3 linked regions of the Saccharomyces cerevisiae S288C genome follow. The gene in region 1 interacts genetically with each later gene. Each region holds a gene or a part of one and is shown on either strand. Other genes may lie near its edges.

What was found.
Region 2: of REG1 (region 1) and ADR1, changing one enhances a phenotype caused by changing the other (phenotypic enhancement), as found in Saccharomyces cerevisiae (2 studies listed by BioGRID).
Region 3: of REG1 (region 1) and SAK1, a mutation in one rescues a mutant of the other (synthetic rescue), as found in Saccharomyces cerevisiae (4 studies listed by BioGRID, with this or other methods).

What each region holds. Positions count from the first base shown.
Region 1 is NC_001136.10:495,122-504,094, forward strand, and holds REG1 (protein phosphatase regulator REG1), read right to left. Parts: upstream 5,759-8,973; coding exon 2,714-5,758; downstream 1-2,713. Other genes in the region: VPS54 (Vps54p), read right to left, coding at 1-2,197; YDR029W (uncharacterized protein), read left to right, coding at 5,979-6,293; RAD28 (Rad28p), read right to left, coding at 6,632-8,152; MIX14 (Mix14p), read left to right, coding at 8,377-8,742. UniProt on the Saccharomyces cerevisiae protein: Involved in RNA processing and negative regulation of glucose repression. Regulates the level of two antigens, P43 and P70. Binds to protein phosphatase type 1. Functions with REG2 and SNF1 protein kinase to regulate growth.
Region 2 is NC_001136.10:893,273-899,506, reverse strand, and holds ADR1 (DNA-binding transcription factor ADR1), read right to left. Parts: upstream 4,473-6,234; coding exon 501-4,472; downstream 1-500. Other genes in the region: YDR215C (uncharacterized protein), read left to right, coding at 5,005-5,418; AHA1 (Aha1p), read right to left, coding at 5,580-6,234. UniProt on the Saccharomyces cerevisiae protein: Required for transcriptional activation of glucose-repressible alcohol dehydrogenase (ADH2).
Region 3 is NC_001137.3:415,770-421,209, reverse strand, and holds SAK1 (serine/threonine protein kinase SAK1), read right to left. Parts: upstream 3,930-5,440; coding exon 501-3,929; downstream 1-500. Other genes in the region: COM2 (Com2p), read left to right, coding at 1-95; VFA1 (Vfa1p), read right to left, coding at 4,740-5,351. UniProt on the Saccharomyces cerevisiae protein: Serine/threonine-protein kinase that phosphorylates SNF1, the catalytic subunit of the SNF1 kinase complex. Acts as an activator of the SNF1 kinase complex and controls its nuclear localization upon glucose and nitrogen depletion.

The sequences.
Region 1 (8,973 bases):
TTTCGCAATCATGAGAACCCCCTACCATGTCTAAAATAGTTGTCCAACTCAATGGGTCTATGTCTATACTTGACACAATGTCGTTAACATCGCTCTGAATAGAGGAGTCCACAATATATGGAATCCATTCTTCAGCATCAATCTTTTTCTTTATGTTGCGGTAATTTTTTGAACTTTGTGCGTTTGCATAATGCTTGATCTGAGATGCTAAAACATTACTTAAATATTTCGTTAAAAATTCACCACTTAATACTTCACATTCTTGAATAAAAATAACGCATATAGCATAAAATTTCAAGAAATAATCATACCGTAGAGATAAGTTCAATTCTCTTCTTACGGCAATGATCTTGCCTGTACGTAACTGAATAATTCTGATTATTTCGTTGATGCCAGTACGTATATCCAATTGCGTAATCATGTTGTGCTGGTTTTCGTTTGGACTTTTAACAGATGCTAGCTCGTTAAGAGAGATATCTAGAAGCAACTTTTGATGCCCATAAAGTCTTCGAAGAGCTTCGAGCGCGTGCGTGAATATGTTTACTAGCATGGACTGAAATTCTGCAGGAGTTTGCTCCTTTATTAATCTTGAAAGTTTAGACCCACTAGTAGAGCCATTGTTAAGATGTTTTTCATCGTGGTTATTGTCAGCGTGTGCATTCTCTGTTGGCAAATAAATTTTTATGATAGATTTAAGCTCAGTGATAGATTTTTCCCTGTATAGGTCAAAGGCACTCGTTAATTCTTCGCATCTATTCAATCTGACTATTAATTCGGTTATCTTTGAAGAAAAATTATCAGTAAATATAGTTTGCTTTTTATCATTAGATCCCGTTTGTATCCTATGTAGTGTTTCCTTTGGTTTGATTGATTTGCAAAAGGATCTTAAATCATCTATTAGTAAAATCGATAATTGTAGGCTGAACTTTCCTCCTATTTCAATCTTCATATTGGTTAAAAACTCTCTCGTTGCTGACAAAGCAGGTATCGTCCTCAAATTGCTTAATTTATAGGGCCAACACCTAGTCCAACTCTGAACATCTTCGTTTATTGAATCATCCCCCTTAATCAGATAATCGATGGATTTTATCAGCTCTAAGCAGTTATCCAACTTGTTCTCCTCATACATTGACTTACACTCATCTGTTTTGTTCAGCACTAACTTCGCCTGTAATAATCCCTGTTCTAGTTTCTCTACATTCTTCCTCTTAAAAATCATTTCTAAATGTGAAATTTTTTTTCTTATATTCTCTGCGTCAATGGTCTTGATATTCTGTGCTAGCTCCTTAAGCTCGCTCATTGTGTCCAAGGCTCTTTTCTGAATATTGTCAACTTCACTTAGCGCATGAAAAAATTTGTGTGAGGATTTGGATATCTCTGTAACCAGTAATGTTTCTACGATATCCAAAAAATCGTTTAGCCTGTCCCTCAACTCAGAAAAAGCCTCATCCCTTTCCGCTTGTCTCTTCATGTCTAGTTTCGTTAAAAATAAATCGATAGCGTCCAACACTTTATGAAAAGTTCGAGGGTTATCTAATTGAAATTTGTCTGAAAAGTAAAAGTCAGGTATACTATTTATTAGCTCGGCATCCCCTTGCCTCAGATTTGCTTCAAACGACTCCTCATGCATATTTTCCCCTTCTCGCAGTTCTTTTAACTGTTCCATCTGATTCATGTTTCTTATATTATTTGTGCTTTGAAATATTTGGTAATCACTTTTAATGTTTTTGACGTATTCGATAACATGAGTTTTCCAATGGTCATCCAGATCATTTTTGCTTAGGCTAACTTGTGGAATATCAGCAACAGTGGGGTAATTGAGCCAGTTTTTCCTCCTTGTGTTCATCACAATTTCATAGATGGAGTTATTTCCCAATGGCGAAAAGTCCATGGACCCACTATGTGTTTCATTTTCAAAACCGAATGATCTACTATTTGCAACAGATAGTGTCCTAGAATCAAAACTTCTTCGCGGCGTTATTGAATCCAGACTTAATCTCGAAGATCTTCTCGCTCTTGGTGTGACACTGCCAGATATACTTAACAAGTCGTCATTAAGGGAAGTATCACCCTCTATAGTAAAAGAGCCACTATCACTATTACGAGAAGGCGATCCCTCAGGAACAACAATTTTAGGACGACCAGCCGCTTTTTGCAGTCCCTGGCTTTTATTATGAGGTGTTTCGCTTATTGACATTGGCCAGATACCTCACCAAACCTTTAAATTGTTTTAATACTGCTTTAGGATATCAATACTGCCAATTACTGTAAGCTCTGCCTAAAACAAAGTTGTGCCTAAAACAAGCCGTGTCGTAGTTTGTTTTGTTTACTTTCTAGACTGTTGTGTGGTGTCTTCTTTATAAAGGAAAAACCCTTTAAAGATCGAAGAAAACATTGATTGTACTCTATCTGAAAATCATTACCCACGAACATATCTTAGATCAGCTGCGTTTAATTGCTAATATATAGAACACACATACGACTATGGAAGCTCAAGAAGTTCTTGTACATAAGTACCAAATATTGTAAAGGTATAAAGAAGTTTTGAAATCTGGAGCGAATTTAATTGTGTACGTAAAATAACTGCTTCGCTGTCTACATTTGTCCTTGACAATGCCAGTCGATTACAGCTTACTTGGATCCTAAAGACGGCACTGATCCACACTACCTGGATTTTTATTTTCTCTTCATGTTGACTTCAAAATTCTTTCTTCTAACTGCTGTCATTTCCATTTTCTTGTGGCTTGACGTCACTCTTTTTCCAAGAGTGCAAGTACTTGCTTGCCATACCTCTTGCATTCTGCACCACTTTGTGTAAGCTTTCATTACTCGAATCCGTCAAAGACGCTTCTTTTCTAGTGGTTTGCACGCTATCAACTTTCTTGTCCTTTAGCTTACTAGCATTATTTATATGGCAGTTTTCAAATCCTTTTGCCAAAGTGTCCATTTCTGAGTGATCTTGATGGTCCATCATATTTCCCCCGGAAACAACAGACTTGATAGATTCATTTCTAGGAGAGAAATAACCCTCTATGGCAACATCACTCGCCCCCACTTCGGCTGGTGAAGGAGTATTATTTACAATTCTAAAGCTTTGTGAACTATCGGACGCTTTTGGCTGCTTTGGAAGGGCTTTTTTCTTCTGAGATGATATGTTTGCTGGTGTCACACTGCCTTTCAATACGCTTCGATTAACCAGCTGACTGTTAGCGGGTAATGGTCTTTGTTCCTCCTCGCTGCTACTCTCTTCTTCACTATCTGAATTGAATATGAAGTTCCCTGAAGAGGAATTGCGCTTCAACGGATACGGCCTGACAGCCAGTTGTGCATCTTTGTCTACATCAGTTTTACCCCCTGTAAAATTAGTAGGATTTTTTTGTTGAGGAGTTGCCGAAGAGAGTGATGGTTGTGCTAGATCGTACAAAGAATTGGTAGATCCTGATTTCCCAAGTGACAATGTTCTCCTCAGTGAAAGTCCTTCATCGTGGTTATCGTCTACTTCTTGGTCATCGTCATCTTCTTCCTCTTCGTCGTCGCTACTATTGTATTGTGAGTCTTCAATAAATTGCTGTTCGCTATCTGATGAAGAGCTGTAATTGTCGTCGTCATATAATAACATATGCGATCCATGTTGACGTGTTGTATTATTTGCTGAAGCTTTGTGTAGTTGTGGAACATGTTTTTCCTTGGATTCTACCGCATTGTTAAATTCATAGTTTGATGCATTATCATCTGCAATGGCTGTTTGTAAGTCCATTCCTTCAGGAACATCTACAATGTCACATGAATCTACTGGTAAAAAACTGGAAGTATCACCAGTGTAGACCGAGTTATAATCGTATATGTAATCATAGCCTCTGGAGGTATTGACGTTATGTGACACAGCATTACCATACCCATTAAATTCGCCATTATCAGATTCTTCGTCTGATCCATAATTCAAAGTGGTATCAGGAAGCAACTTTATTATGGGACGTACATGAGCTCTGGAAGTAGTAGATGAAGCCACAGAGGAATTATCTGTTATTGGTGAATGAACTCCAGAGTCAGACCTCCTGGAAAATCTTGCATTTATGTAAAGGCCGCCGTGTTCTTCATCATCAGAATGTGATGAAGATGATGATTGTGAGGATGTATCATCGTCGCTAGTATTTTTGTTCAAATGTTCAGTTGCGGAGTTGATAGGAATAGATTTATGCTGAATGGCTAGCAATGGAGTCCTATTGTTGTTTATTGTTGTAACGTTCGCATTGTTATTAACATCAACATATTGTTTATTTTCATCATCGCTTTCATCATCCTCCGATTGTGAAGCTGGATATCGTAGTGCCATACATTGTTCCACCCTGTCATTAAAATGTATATGTCTATTTTTAGTAGGTTTGTTAGATTTTTCACTTGGGTTTGAGGTTAATATTGATGATAATCCCATGGAATTGTTTTCATTATCTCTATTGGAGGAAGATGTTGAGGAGGGGAACCTATTATTATCAGGAGAATTTAGGTTTTGATCCAAGTTAGCCTTACGATCATTGGTACTATTTTCTAGTATGCTTTTGTTTGATTGTGCCGTTGACCTATTGTTTTGAACATGAAGCGCTGACTTTAAATGCAGGTCTTCTTCTCCCTTGTCACCGCCACCATTTGAATTTTCTCCTACAGGATTCGGTATGGTAGAATTATCTTTTTTGTCAGAGTGTTGACTCTTCAAACTAACGCTACTGTTCGATTCTTTGGGATAATGGTAGTACTGGGCGTTAACTTGAGCGGCCAGAGCATCGAAATCGTCATGGACGTTTTTGTTGCCATTGGGATCCATTATTACCGAAGCATGTTTCATTTCTGTCATGTGTTTTCTTGCCTCATTCAGTTTCCATAAAGCGTTGTCCTCTATAATTTCTGTGACGGTTCTCTTCTTCAAAATTGGTTTCGGAGCAGCTGCGATCGACTTTGAATTTTTAGTGGGCATTGAAATTCTCTTGGAATTTTCATCATCCGAACCATATCCTCTTTCTAGATCATGTTCTTCTTCACTTTGGGCATTACCTTCAGAATCTCTTACAATAGGGCCATATAGCCAAGTCACATCAGAATCTTTTGACCAATTAACCACTTCAGGTGACACTGTTTTCAAGTTGTTTCTTGCTTTTGCCCATGTTCTCCATGAGGCATTTTCTAACCTAGCAGCATTTACTAGATCAACATCTCTTTTCTTTTTCTTTAGGATGATATATTTCCAAGAATTAGAAATTTCTGATTCTTTCCATTCATGTGACAGATAGTCAACATGTCTTTCTGGCTCTACCACTACGTCATTATCATCTTGTGGAATTAAGTAGCTATCATTATCCGCCGGCGGTGGAGAAACGGAGGTTGAGTGTTCCTGATAGCCGTCATCATAATCATCATCTGAAGAATTGCTTGAAGAATTATTAGATGAGTTGTCATAATATTCATTGTCGTTATCATATAAGTCGTCTGACCTTCCTAGCAATTTCTTGGTAGGGTCAATATATTCATCAAGAAGGCCCATTGATCTTGTTCTTTTAAGGTTGAAAGTTGATTTATGGAAATCATCATCATTTTTCGCTTGAACAGCCATCGATACTGAAGGCCCCATATCTTCGTCGTTGTCGTTATCGTTACCACTAATTTTGACATCACTTTTGCTATTACTTTCATGGCTCGCATTTCTATTTACATGCTCGTTTTCAATATCTTTCTTACCGGCGAAGTAATTTGCTAGATTTGTTGACATTTTTGGATTTTTCTTATCTCGTCTTCGTCAATATGCTTGCTTTAGGATTTATAATCTTCAAGGATATTATCTTTTCCCCCTTGCTTTGACTTTTCAACGTTCGTACAGAACACCAGGTGTGTGGTTATACGTATAACAGCCAAAAGCTAGCCCTCGTAAAACTAGTATACCAATTAGTTCTCTTTCAGGAGGTGGTGTTAAAAAAATAAGAGAGATAAAGATGAGCAAATATTATATCTTGATAGAGCTGATGAACGATAAAAAGAATACTAACTCTAGTTGTGATATTTTCTCTTTCTATTTAAATTTCAGCGATAACCCTTTCTCAAGCTTTCGTTTGAAATCGCGTCTCCTATATGGTATATTCTCCTGTTTTCTCCTTTTTTATTCCTTAAAAGACCTGATAGGGGTATTCAAACAAAAGTATTTATATTTGTCTATTCTTCTTTTATGGCTTCTTGTTCTCCTGTTCTGTCTTGCAAAAGGCTTGTCACACAATCTCAGGGCTGATTCCTTCCTTCAATATCCACTGTGAGTTTAAATGCAAACAAAAATAGAGTGAATAAAAAAAGCTTTCGGCCCGGAATTGGTTAACCCGACTTACCAATATTATGTCAGAAAAGAGGCTACAGCTGAAACTAAGGTGAGGTGGTAAGAAATGCTCTCTATTGAAAAGTATGCATGAAGTGGAGGATAAGAGGTGAAGCGGCTTGGTAAAATATACCTGCCAAGTCTGAGATGAAAGCATTTGTATATAGCTATTAGTTGTATATTCGTGTGTAGCGATATACGTTTCCGGGTAATACAAACCTACATTGGTTCAATTATAAGAGCCGCGAAGACTATTATCATATTCTATACGGCATTTATTACTTATGAACATTCAAAGATGGATCCGCCGTCGCTAACGGTGTTGTTGTTAGTTCCAAAGAACAATTTGAGGCCAACTGAATTCATTATATTTGTTTGCACAATCATGGAACTAAACTGACAATGCGAAGCCTGATTTTTTTTTACCTGATTAACCATTGGGTATTCGAGCTTGTTCCAAAGTTTTTTTTCCTCCGTATTGTATATTTCTACTTCACCATTGTCAGTAATACACAGTAAAAACTTGTCAAACCAAAGCAACCTTCGAGATACTCTTTTTTTGTATTTGATACGGCTCAGGTCTTGTGTTCCCAACTGGGAATAACTAGCTAGACCTTCTGGTTGCAGAATTTCCGTAAATGGCCTCCAAACATTCAGTTTTCCATCCATGCCGACTGAACATAGCTCTGAACCCTCACTATTCCAAACAATGTCACTGCAACATCTCAGATGGGCTTTTGATTGGTTAGAGCTGAAATAGACATCGCTTTGATCGTCATTATCATCGTTATTTATAGTCTTGAACCTATTTTTATTTCTTTTCAATTCTGAATACAGTCTGTTCCTCATTCTTAGATCCCATAATTTTACCCCACCCTCCATGTCACCACAAGCAATAATCTGTTCCCTGACGGGGTTAAATTTGCAGCATAAAATTTCTGATTGCATTCGTGTTTGATTTCCCATTCCAAGCGCAGTTACCCCTGAATTCATGGTTCTCAGGTCAATTAATCTTGGATAGTAGTCTTCACTTGCCACTACAAGCAAAGAACTGTCGTCGACAACGTTATTATCAATTTGATTTATTTTATACCCCAGGTTTATATCTTGAACCGCTTCAAACCTGTTTGTGTCCCATATTTTTACAGTTTTATCATTTGAGCCAGTAAAAAACATCCCATTATCAGCCTTATACCACTTCAAAGTTGTTATACCATATTTATGGTGAGATATGGAAGCTTCTGAATCTGTTTCAGATAGTGTCTCACTAAACCCGATAGGAGAATCCGTTTTATTTGATATGTGTGATCTTTGAACTGGAACTGCAGCACTAGACTGTCTATACATTCGATATTTGTTTCTCTGTGTTTGAAAACTGTGCACCAGTCTCATAGTGTTGTTGTCGTTTATTCGTGTTCTTTTATTTTTATAACCCATTATTTGAGCAGGCTCATCATCTGATTGGTGAGGCTGTCGCTTGATATAGTTTAGCCTTTTATTGATCAATTCCTGTTCACCTTCATCATTGCGGTGCAATGATTCATCTAAACCCCAAATGGAAAGTGACCCATCATCTCCACCTCCTAATAACACTTGACCAGTATCATCAATATCAAGACAGTTAACACCTATACTTAACGGTGTTTTTTCTTTTGTACTATAGTTTGATTGTTTACTAAATCTGTAGTTTTTCATATTTGATAGGGGATCTTCAAGGATCCTCTCAAATTCGCTTTGAATAGTTCTTCTATAAAATTCATTTAATGAGATATTGCCTACTCTGAACTCTAAAAATGGATCCATTGACCTGTACTTACGTCCCAGAACGAGAAAGAGATAAAATTTTATGTTGTCTGTGGTCTAATGGGAGATGAGATAGCGATGCTTTTAGCTGCACATCCGAGTTCGGAGTTTTTTTTTTTTCCTACGCTTAAGAAACTATTCAAAGTAAACTTGCAGGTCCCTCCCTAATATAAAGACATGTTCCTGTAAGCACCGAGCTAATAAGTTAAAGATAGGTGAAGAAGATGTCTGATATTTTGGATGAGATTGTCATAGAAGATGTTGTGGCAAATTGCCCCCAGGAGTTTCTGCAATATCATAAATGCATAAGAGATAATGAGGAAAATCCTGGGAAGTGTAAAGATGGAAGAATGATATTATCTACATGCATTAGAGAAAAAGTGCCCAGTGTGAAAAGTATCATGAGCGAATGTAGTGAGCCAATGAAGAAATATGACCAATGCATTCGTGATAATATGGGTACAAGAACTATTAACGAAAACTGTCTAGGATTCTTACAGGACTTAAGGAAATGTGCGGAATTGCAGGTTAAAAATAAAAATATTAAGCCTTCAATTAATGGAGTAAACTTGGAATTAATCAAGGACTGAATTAATAGGCTTCCTTTGTTTATTTCCGCCATTTTTATCGTTGCATAAAGACATTATATATTCCTGTGAATATTTTTTAACTAAAATGTCCGAAGAAATTACTGTATTTAAAGTATATATATTTTCTAAAGATACTTAGGTATACCTGACGGGCAGTCCTTTTTTCATCACAGAATAATTTTCGGTAAAGGATCATTCATTTCCATAGGTAGGAGAAGTAATACTTCAAAT
Region 2 (6,234 bases), 400 kb from region 1:
TAAATAAAAAAAAATTTAGAGATTCTTAATTAAGTCTAAGAACATCCTCCCACACGCCAGGAGTGGTTAATGTTCAAGATTGGTATTAGTTATACACGGTAACCAACAACGTTGGTAAGGTCTTTTTCTTCTATACATGAATTTTAAGATCAAGCATATATTTTAGGCTTGCATCTTGTAATGAACTAACTTTCATAAATAGCTTTTCTTTTTTGTATGAGGTATAAGATGAAAAATGTTAAACATGATACAGGATTTAATATAAAATGGACCAAAATAAGGAGCAATAACGAGATTCACCCCAATGGGTGAGATGAGAAACGCCAAGGTAGTGAAATATTTTTGTGCAACAATTTCAAAGATAAGATCGGTGTTCTCCCGCAGTAGTCCACTTCAGTCGCATGCATGGCTGTTTGATGAGAAATAAAATGAGATATTCAAAATCTCATCAGAAAGAGTTGAGTACTGGGACGACACATATCAGCAACGAGACATAATCGTCAACTGTTTCCCTTTAGATGATTTTCCAAAGTGTGGAAATCACTTGCCATCTTATCTAACATGTGACAATGAATGTAGTTTTCTTTAACATTGGTGAAAAATAACTTGGCAATAGTAACATATTTCAGAGATAATTGGTACTTTTCGGCAAATCCTTGCCCCTTTCCACCATTTTTATGTTTTGATGAATGATTTTCCCCGTAACGTAAAAGATTCAAAGTAGAAACAGTTTGATGCGAATCATTTAAGCCGCTGAAGTTAATACCTTCTAGGCCGGTATCCGATAGGAAATGTGCTGAACGAGGCAAGTCTGTCACTGCCCTGTCCCCATTATCAAAGGAAAATTCATTTCGAATAGGATCCTCCATATTCAAAAAAGAGGTATCGTTAAAAGAGTTAACTAGGATTTCATTAATAAACATTGCAAGCCCTTCAACATTGATCTTTTTGGCTAACTTAGTCTTAACAGCTGCACTTGCACCATTATGGTGTTCATTTGCGGATAAACCAGGGACAAGCATACCATTATCTTTATTTATAAATTGTTGCGTAAATACAACATCAGGAAATCCAGAAAACTCTTGCGGATACAATCTTGAAAGTGTGGGAAGTAAAATAGAATTCGCAAGGCTTCTCAACTCAATAAAAATTCTCAGTAACTTAAAATTTGGAGTTGCTTCAAAATCCAATAAAAATTTGATAATTAGGATGAAGCAATAGTAATAGCCTTGTAAATTGAAGACAGAAAGCGCTTGATTATTCAGGTGGATCCTTGGCAGCTCTGGAGAATTCATTCTTTGGGAGCAATCACTTTCTTCTTCTACGTATAAAGACGAAATATTACGGATTGAAAAGTTCAACGCTACTAAAAATTCACACAATACTTCAACTGAATAATTCTTCAAAAAATTCAACCTCACAGAGTTCAAAAAGGAATCATATATCTTTGCTATTTGTCCTTTTCTAACCTTCTCAGTAAACGAGCGATCAATCTGTTTGATGAATCTCATTGACATTAAATTATTTTTCAAAATTATGGTGTCATCAATTAAGATCGCAATATTTTTATTGGTTGCTGCCATATTATCATTGCCATAGGAAGAAGTGTCAAGACTCCTCTCTAGCCTTTTCGTATCGATTCGATCCAAAAACACATGTGATTTGGTTCCTTTTCTTAAATCGTATTCATAATAAATCATAGATGACCCTAAAAATTCTGGTATTGAGTGTAAGTGTCCATACGTGAAACTGTAATAAAAGTTTCTAAAATCATAAAAATTTTGCTTTTGCACAACATGCCCATTACATATTATCGATTCACTGGCCCATTTTGACTCATTGTCGGGAATATAAATGGTTTCAACATCTTTTTCCTTTATAGACAAATCGAATTTAATATGGAAGAAACATTTCAAGAACTGACAAAAATCATAAGCCATTAAGGTGCATCTAATTTTTGACTCAAAAATGATGTATTGAAGAGGAGAACCAAATGTTAAAGGTTCATTGTTATTATTGATACTCTTCTCAGAATTTGCAGAAATTGTCGGTAAACAGTTTGATCTGATCGTTGAACATAATGCGGACAATTGCCTTTTCATCAAAGAGGAGTCAATTTTCTCCAAATAATCAGCAACTAGAGCGAACATGAAGCTCAATATTAGGGATTGCATCAACCAAATGTTCTGATAACTGTCATTTACTGTTGTACTGCGACACCTTCTTTTAGTCTCCAAAAAAGAATGTAGAATTCTTCTACTCATCTCATACAATTCTATTGTTTGAGATTTGTAACCGAACTTATGCAAAGAACCAAATGTGGCCATAAATAAGGGTAAACAAACGATTTTCGAAATGGACAAGATTTGATAGTGCTCGTAATCATATTCTTTATCTGTCCCTTGACTTAATCGATCAAACAACTGCGCGTTTTCAGCGTCATCATACCCATCCTCATTAGTATATCGTTGCAAGCTATCCAAATCCAAATCAAGCAAGCTTGGGTGAATAATAGGGAAATGGGGAAGGAAATTATTCTTGAAAAGATCTAAATATTCGTTCAATTCACTCACAGCTGGCATTAACAATTCTTTGGACAGCAAGTTTGGATTAGAGTCCATGACACTCTCACTACTATCATGACTGAACTTTTCATAGTATCTAAGCACTTTAATGCACATATTTCTCATTGGTTCATTAAATAGCTTTGATTCTATGGAATGCGATGGCTGATTGTTGTTCACAGTGGAGGCCGGCAGAGCTCTTGATATTTTCGATAACGTTAAACAATCTAACCCATAAAAAGTATAGTTGCCGCTATCTGGCTTTTCTTTCCTGTTTGACGTTGATAAAAAGTCTTCCAGGGATCGTTTAGACTCTTCTCCTTTCAAATATTGACTGAATATGGCTTGAACATCTCTGGTCATATTACATAGCTTATCCAGATCATCTTCGCGATTGGAAGGATGATCGAGTCCGAAAGAAATCAACATATCGTCATTGGTCCCCTCTTTATTCTTATAAATTAACTTATGAGGAGAAATTGGAGAGTTTGATAGGTTCAAATGGGAAAGGTCAATCTCATTTGACGTGGCGGTAGCACTTACGCTATCATCATGTAAAAGTTCAAATTCTTTTAAAACGGCAGTGGTCTCTAACAAATCATTACCTAAAGTATCATTATCCAGCAGTTCTTGAAAATCGACGAAATCAGGTTGGTTGTCTGATACCTTATTGTTATTGCTATTATTATCTATAGCAACAGTCCAAGAGGAGGACCTTGAATCCTTCAAATGATGTATAGTCGATTTAAAATCTGGGACGATTAATTTAGTGTCGTTTAATTCAGAGTTCATTGGAGAAGTTTCATCACTTTCAGATACTGAAAACAAATGATCATTATAGGCTTTTATCCAGTACGACGACGACAATAAGTCTGCGTCATTAAATGAAGCGTTCTTAGAATTCGTGTTAGCGCCGACATATGCGCGGGTTGGTGAGCCGGAAGAATATGTGTAGTTATTTGCTGATTCGGGCAATTTATAATCCAAATTCATTGTTGATCCAGAAGAATCAGAACGGTTTAATGCTATATTGAAATTGGAATCTAGATTTAGGTTTAAATCTAGATTCATATTCAGGTCAAACGAAGAGTCAAGTTCAGGATTCTTCAAGTCAAGTGGAACTAATTCAGGCGTAGAAAATTTAACACGATCCTTTGGATGTTGTTCTAGCGAAGATTGGTCGGGCAAAGCATAGCTGGATGCTGATTGTGCGCTAAATGAAGCCCTGCGCGTCAGTTTTTTCAAGTACTTACGTTTAACATTAGCTTCAGGGCTTGCTTTTCTTCTTGTATTGGCAGTAGTGCGATTCAAAAAATTACCATTATCTGGAGTACCATAGGTTGGAGTTTGAAACTTGACTGAGGATGCAGAATTTTTCCGAGCTTTAGTTATAGTTCTCGACACTTTCTTGGTATGGGAAATCGTTTCCCCTAAATTACCACTATGGATTTTTTGAGCATGCCTGATCAGTAAGTCCCTCCTAGTAAAGCATCTGTTGCAGAGGCCACAGGGATAAGGTTTTTCATTTGTATGCGATCTGTAATGTCTTTTCAAGTGCTCTTGTCTTGCGAACGCTCTCGTACAAACCTCGCAAACAAATGACCTTAGTTTCCCACTGGGGGTTCTACCATTAAGCCTTAAATTTTCGGGCAACTTGTCCAGTTGCTTGTTAATCTTGGAGTTCATATTATTATTTGTGGTAATGATCTTTCCATCTGGCGTCCTCTGTATCACAGAGAAAGTGTTTGAGTTTTCTCTGGAAGCTGATGATGACATTAATAAAATCGGTGAATCATCCGTTTCCATTTCTATTTCTTGTTTCTCATTATTGAAGCCGTTAGAAAAGCACGAATTCAAGTCAACAACGGGAAAGCCTGAACAATCGTTTGGTTTTTCTACGTTAGCCATAGTAATAGAGTATGATTATTTTTTTTATATTTTTTTTTTTTGGAAAACAAAATTCTTATAGTAAAGTAAGGAATAGTAGCAGAATATTTTTCTGAAGTGTTTATAATAAAGGGAGAACCGGGAAAGTAGCAAAATGATTGGTTAATTTATGCAAATCAATCTTATACTTCCAACGAATAAGAGGGAGTATATCAAAACAGAGTAACAATAAACTTTTGCTATGACACCTTTTCTTTCTTTCAAAGATAAAAGAATAAGGCTTTTCTATAGTAGTCGAGCAAATGTTGGAATAAGGAGGTATGGAATTTTGAAAATAGCCTGAGAAATTCAGATCAATGATATATAACTGTTGTCTTCAAAAGGTCTTCAAGGGAAGAAAATTTCCGATCGGAAGTCCAGAATAAATACCACAAGTATAGCACAATAAACAACAGCACAACAACAATAATAACAACACCTGTAGCGAAAACGTTTTCCTATTTTTAAGGCGTTGTTCTTTGAAAACCTGTGGCGAAGTAAAACATGAAAACAAATGAAAACACCGCCAAACCAAGAAAAGAACAACGAAAAAATATCACTTTTATTTAGTTCACAACGGCTAACTATCGACGTTCACCCTTCCTCAGTCTATCACATCGTCCTTAGCTCGAACAACGCCGATAGGCATCAAGTTACATTGAGCTTTACTGCACGTTCCCGCATGATGCCATTGACTAGGGCCCGCCCTTTCGGCAATCATTCTAGCATGTTCCGCATGTTCCTTGACGCCATGGTCATCCTTGCCGTCGCCTCCGGCGTTTCCCTTCCCCCTCAGCTGCCAGGGCGCCGTTCACACAACGCAAGCACACCCGGCGCCAAAAAACCGGGGAAAGACCACGGCGCTATGGTTTCGGAGTTTCCCGCCAATGGCGTTATAACTCCAGTTTATTTTCCTCTTCGTTGGTAAATTCCGGGGAGGCCGTCGGCGCCGGGCCGCAAAAGTAGGACGGGCGATCGGAGCCGCGCGGATGCCGTACAGAACTACATGATGTATTGCATTCTATCTATGCCAATAGTGGTATGTAAATATTTACGCATACTTTTATTGAAACATGAGAACAATATATCTTATAATACGGCACCAAAGCCGAATGTCAATTTAATAGAACGCACGTAGTATTCTTCAAAATTAGCGCGCACGCGATCTTCCTCGCCAACGGGTATGCCAGTCCACTTCACCTGTAATTTGGTTTCATGGAATTCTTGCGACTCATGGAAAGTCATTTCGATAGTAGAGTTGAAAGGGGCAGACCAATCCTTGAGTTTCCAGTGGAAAACAAGTTTCTTGTCCTTTTCGCATGAAACCAACTCGCTGATCACGTTGCCGCCAAAGAGCTCGAATTTTTCTTTGGTCTCCAGCTTCGGTCCGCTGTTGAAAAATTGTGCTGATCTGGTCCAGGCCAATATGCGTTGCTTATCAAGGAACGTTTCGTAGAGCTCGGAGGAAGGCACATTAAAAGTTGGTTCTAAATAAATAGATGTACTATTGCCGCTTCCGTTTTGGGGGACTTTGTTGGTGCTGGAGACTGGTGCTGAAGTTGAAGTAGAAGAGGGAAGTGCATTCTTTTTTGGCTTTGAAGCGGAGTCCTTGATTTCGGTAAAGCTACTTTTTTGGTTACCTCTTGTGTAGTTAGATTTCACCTGAGATTCGGGCACCTGAATGTCATTACCATGGGTGGCCAGCAAATCCTTGCCAAATTGTTGGAAAATTTGTCTCAACTTG
Region 3 (5,440 bases), on another chromosome or scaffold:
TGTGCGAAAAACCATTTACATGCCATATCTGTAATAAGAACTTCAGCAGAAGCGATAATTTGAATCAGCACGTTAAAACTCACGCTTCCTTATGAAATTTTAAAGATACGGAAATTGCAAATTGAAAAAGTTTAATGACACTCACCAGTAATGATTTTGAAACGAAAAGGCACTTCTCAGGGTGAGACGAAGAAACGAAAAGTTTTCTAAGCACAGATACACTTCTCTCGCCGCCCTTTTAATAATTTAGAATAAAAATATTATAGATTTATAGATTATATTATGCTAAACTAAAAAGATCTACATCATATATTATTTTTAGCCTGTTAATGATATTAAGTTCATTGCAAGAGGATTGTAAATCACATGCATTTCAAATACAGAACTTATTTTAACATACACATATATGCGTGCATGTTGGCAAGGGTAAAAAGTTAGAGCTTTCTACCATATATCTGATTAACATCGTAGTCCGATGGAAATTACTTTGAATTTTACACTCATGGAAGTGCACTCCTTCTCTTCTCTTCATTTAGTTCAGCGACTGTTAAAGATCGCGATCTTTCATGGGTCCTTTGTTTTATAGCGCCATTTTCTTGTCCTTTATCACCATGGCAGCTGGTATTTCTAGCATGTTCATCATTACCAACATTAGTACTCATGGTAATACTTGCGTCCTTTCGTCCTCTTATTTTATTTGAAGGTATGGATCTCCTTCTGCCTGCATTAGTGGAACTTAGAGCATCTTTTAACAAGTCCCTTGAATAAAGAACTTTATCGAAATTTTTGTCCTTTCGATGATCGTTATTACCGTTAAATTCAACGATATCTGTTAAATTTGAGGTTTCCGTCGTAGCTTTCTTTTGGTCTAAACGCTTTGGTAATACTAATGGGCCAGGCTTACTAATGGGTTGGCTGCGGCTCAGTGCCTGATGCAGCGTCAAGTCATCCATATTTTGCGGCGTTATCGTCGTCTCACTGTCATGAACACTTCCATTGGAATACATGAAATTATTTGATCCCTTCTGCGGACTATTGGATAGTTCACTAAGTTTTGAAGAATTATGCCTTCTTCGATGACCTGCAGTCCCGACATTTAAAATTAGCTCATCTTCGTCGGAGGATGAAGATGAAGAAGATGAGACAGAAGGTGGTTCGAGGTTCAATGAACTTTTAACTTTCATGCGTCGACATGGTTGTATATCCAGAAACGGCCTTATTTGATCTTCGTTAGGTAAATCTCTTAATAATACTCCACTTCCATCTTCTGAATCAACACCAAACTCGAAAGGTAATGACTCCGTTTCTGAATATGCATTATTGTTGGAGCTATTCCGAGATTGGGTTCCAGATGTACAGGACGATGAAGTGGATGATAATTCAGAATCAGATTCTGAACCAGAACTGGTTACGGACGACTGGCTACTGCTATCATCATCATCTCCATTAAAATGACTGAAAAAGTTTCCTCTACGTACCTCGAAGGTTTTTGAATTATCCTTAGACTGTTTCATCCGTTGGTATAAGGATTTTATAGGAGAATTTTTGGAGCCTGACTTATCGCTGCTATTAATGTTTATTCTCGGAGGATCTTTTATGGCGGGTGTTTTGGTATTTTTCTTTACGGGAAACCTTCTCAAACGATCAGCGTTAGGGTTTTTTGCAGGTGATGGAATTTCTGAATCCTTTGGAACTCTTAGTTCAGTCAATTTCGTTGTTGAGATTTTTGAAAGGCTATTTGGTATTTTCGGTAAGTTTTGGTTGCGTGAATTCATTCGGCCAGTCCTTGAAGATGGTCTGCCGGAGTTGTATGACGTTAGATGAGATGAAGAATTTCTAAGAAGACTATTGTGACTCTTATCATACCGACCTGTTGCACAAAACGATGACTTTTGTTGTGGCAAAACGGGGCGAATTGGACTTGGTTGGTTGGTGACTCCACTAAAGACTGGTGATCGTCCAAGCCTTGTTGAAGACGGTGCAGAAGGAAGGTTTGGTACAGACGAAACCGAATCTCCCGCTTCTGGAGAACTCATTCCCATTCTAGCCATCGCAAAATTATCTATGTAGAAGCTGTCCAAGGATGCAAATGAGGAATTGATAGGTAAATTAACCATATTTCCGGCCTCGTGTTTATCATCGAATTTGTTTAATTCTCGTTCTAGTTCTCTTTTCGTTAAATGTCCATCGTTATCATCACCACTATAATGATCATCGTCGTTGATATTAATATTAGTGTCGCTATCAGTGTTCAAACATCCATCATTAGCACTTAATTCCTTAATATTCGATAACACTGAACCTTCGCTGACAATAACATTGGCATCCCCTCTGCCCCTAGTGGTTTCCGTTGGATGAAGGTAGTTTTTATTAGAGAGATCTGACGGATCCTTTAGCGGGATACTTTTTAGTACGGACTCTTTGATTTTTTTCCCGACACCGGAGACAGCGTTTTTCAATTCGTGCTTTGAAATAGAAATGGGTTCAAATTGATCAGTTTGGTTACATTGGAAACGTAATTTTTGCTCAAGGACAGAAGATAGTAACTTTTCATCGTTCTCCGGTACGTGGTCAAAATCCCATGAAACAAAAGGATGTTTTTTAATGGCAGGTATAGTCATTCTTTTTTGGGGATTTTTTTCTAACAATTTCAATAAAAGGTCCTTTGCCATTTCGTATTCCTCCTCACAAGATACTTTAGATACTTTGTTGGACTGTATTTCTTTAAATGTTGGAAATTTTAACGGGTCGTTTACAATTTTTTCAAATAATTTGAGCTCAAAATCAGAAAAAAAAGGCAGCATTCCAAAAAGAAGACAGTACAAGGTCACACCCACAGCCCAAATATCTATCATGAATGAGATGCAAGAACCACGAAATAAATTTTCCTTTGTTAAGTTATACCTGGTGAATGCATCTTCACCCAAGCACATTTCGGGAGCAAAAAATGCAGGCGTGCCCACTGTTTTGGCTAATTCTAACTCGTCTAAGGATTCGCTACTATCGGAACTATTCGTGCTGCTAGCAGCTAAAGAAACACCAAAATCGGAAATCTTAACAGTGCCATCTCCTGATATTAATAAGTTGGCAGGCTTAATATCTCGGTGAATGATTCCTTGGTAATGGAGATATTCTAAGCCGAGCACAACGCCTCTTAAAATCTCTCGCGTTTCTTGAAAACTTAGTAAAGAGGGACCCTTAGCATCTGATTCCATACAATCCGGTGGACACCATTTTACCTCGCCTCGAGAACAATACTCTAGAACTAAATAAATTTTTCTTGATTTTAAATCATCCAGAACTTCTATCAGTTGTACGACATGTTTGTGATGGCATTTTTTCATAATGGCAATTTCTCGTTTTATTTTATCATTTTCGGATATTTTACTTGATTTGATAAACGTGAAAAACTTCCTCTGTTTCTTTTCATGTCTATCCACTATTTTAATCGCTACTAATTGCTTACTCAATATATCTCTTGCTAATTTTACTTTTCCATGTTGTCCATGGCCTAATTCTTTGATGATCTCATAAGTGTTTAAAACTTTCCTCTTTGACACCGGGTCGTATGTTAGAGATATTCGATTAGTTTCCTTAACTTTATTCTTAGAACTCCCGCTCGAACAAAATGATGAAGTCGTTGTCGGGGTCTTAGCTAGTGAACTACTTATATGCTGTTGGTGCTGTGGATGGTTTAACTGCCTTACTCTTTGCCGCTCTAATAGCATGTTGAGGGAATCTACCGATGAAGACGCTATTGATGCATTATCTCTTGCACCTTCGGCCATGCCCGCCAAATTGGTAGCGCTACTCTTAGTCGGGCTTCGGAGTGATACACTGCTACTGGTGCCTGATTTTTCTAATTCTATTTGTAAGTTTGAAGGTACATTGACCTCTTCGACGTTAACTTTTTTATCACTCCTATCCATGTTCAAAACTCCTTATTAATATGCTTCTTTTCGTTTTATCTTAATCTATAATTACAAATTCTTACTGACAAAAAATCCAAATAAAAAAAAAGGAAACCGGTACTGTCTTAAAACATCAATTACTTTCCAAAGTAAATCTTCAGGTCACAAGGTATACTTCACTTAATGCCGCCTGATATAATCACAATGCAAAAATAAGGACAACCAAACGTGTTAACGAAGTGCTTTTAAAATTGTGACTGGATAAATGAAAAATGTCAACTCCTTAAATAAAGAATATGTAGTCAGTTCAGAAGTGAGATTTAGTTTGATCAAAATTCGTTACCTAAACTTTTTCCATATGCTAGTATGTTGCCACCTGCAGAAATAAATATAAGACTTTTTCTAAACAAAATGACTAGTCTTTAAGCGTCAATTGACTCCCTTTCCAAAAAAAAGAGTAATACGTTAGCTTTCTACGCTCAGTGATGAATATGAAGGGAACGAAGGAACAAGCCGCTGTTAATTTGAAGTCGTTCAACGATGATTATTTAACTTGATGAAGCACCATTTGCCTGCTCTCAACAGCTTGTCAGAAATACAAACATCACTCACACTTTCTGCCTTCCCTGGAAAGAAAGAAAAAAATTAGCTACAATTTAGTCGCTTGATACGTGTTGATTTTATTTTGTGATCTTTAGAATGTGATGAGCATTTAGCTTTTGGTTACGAACCATGAATAGATAATCCATGGTGAGTTTTATATACTATATAATCAATAGTTCATGGGTATTAGGCCATAGGAAGAGGAACGGTCCAACCGTTGCGTCCTTATTTTGGAACGGAGGGGAACACGTGTTTTCGAAGCAGTTCTTCAGGATCCGTATTAGAGTAATTCTCTTGCTCCTTGAGGTATCGTTCGCGATTTACTTGTTCTGTTCTTTTTCTTAGGAGTCTGCTTTCAAACATGATTTTTGCTAGTTCGTATTTTCTGTTTTTCCTTTGCAGTTCTGTAACTTTGTCAAGTATTTTGCTGTACTGTTTCTTTGTTTCTGACAAGATTTCTGCATCGTTCTTAGCCTGTGGAGATGTATCAGTAGAGTCGGTTGTAGTTGGATCAGGGTCTTTAGAGTTATTTGTCTCCTTTTCTTTCTTGGAGAATATTTTAGTAACCCAACCATCCCAGGACCCTAATTGGGTTTGAGCTGATGTCAGACTATCCATTTTCCCCTTTACTAGTTTTAATTGAGCCACGGCTTCATTATACTCTGTACTATAGAGGGGAATGACAAATTGTGGATTATCTTGTAAATGTATTTCGCATGTATATAGCCAATCTGGACCAGATGCGTTGTAAAGGACGGTAGTGGATGGTTTGCTACAGATCGCACATGGTTGCATGTCCTTTAGAGCGACCTTTCTGGCAACGTACTCATTTATCATTGTATATATACTATATCGTGGCACTTCTGGTGTGCCTTATTCCCACTATATTGTTAATTTATGGCGATTTAGTCATGTTCTGCTTAGGA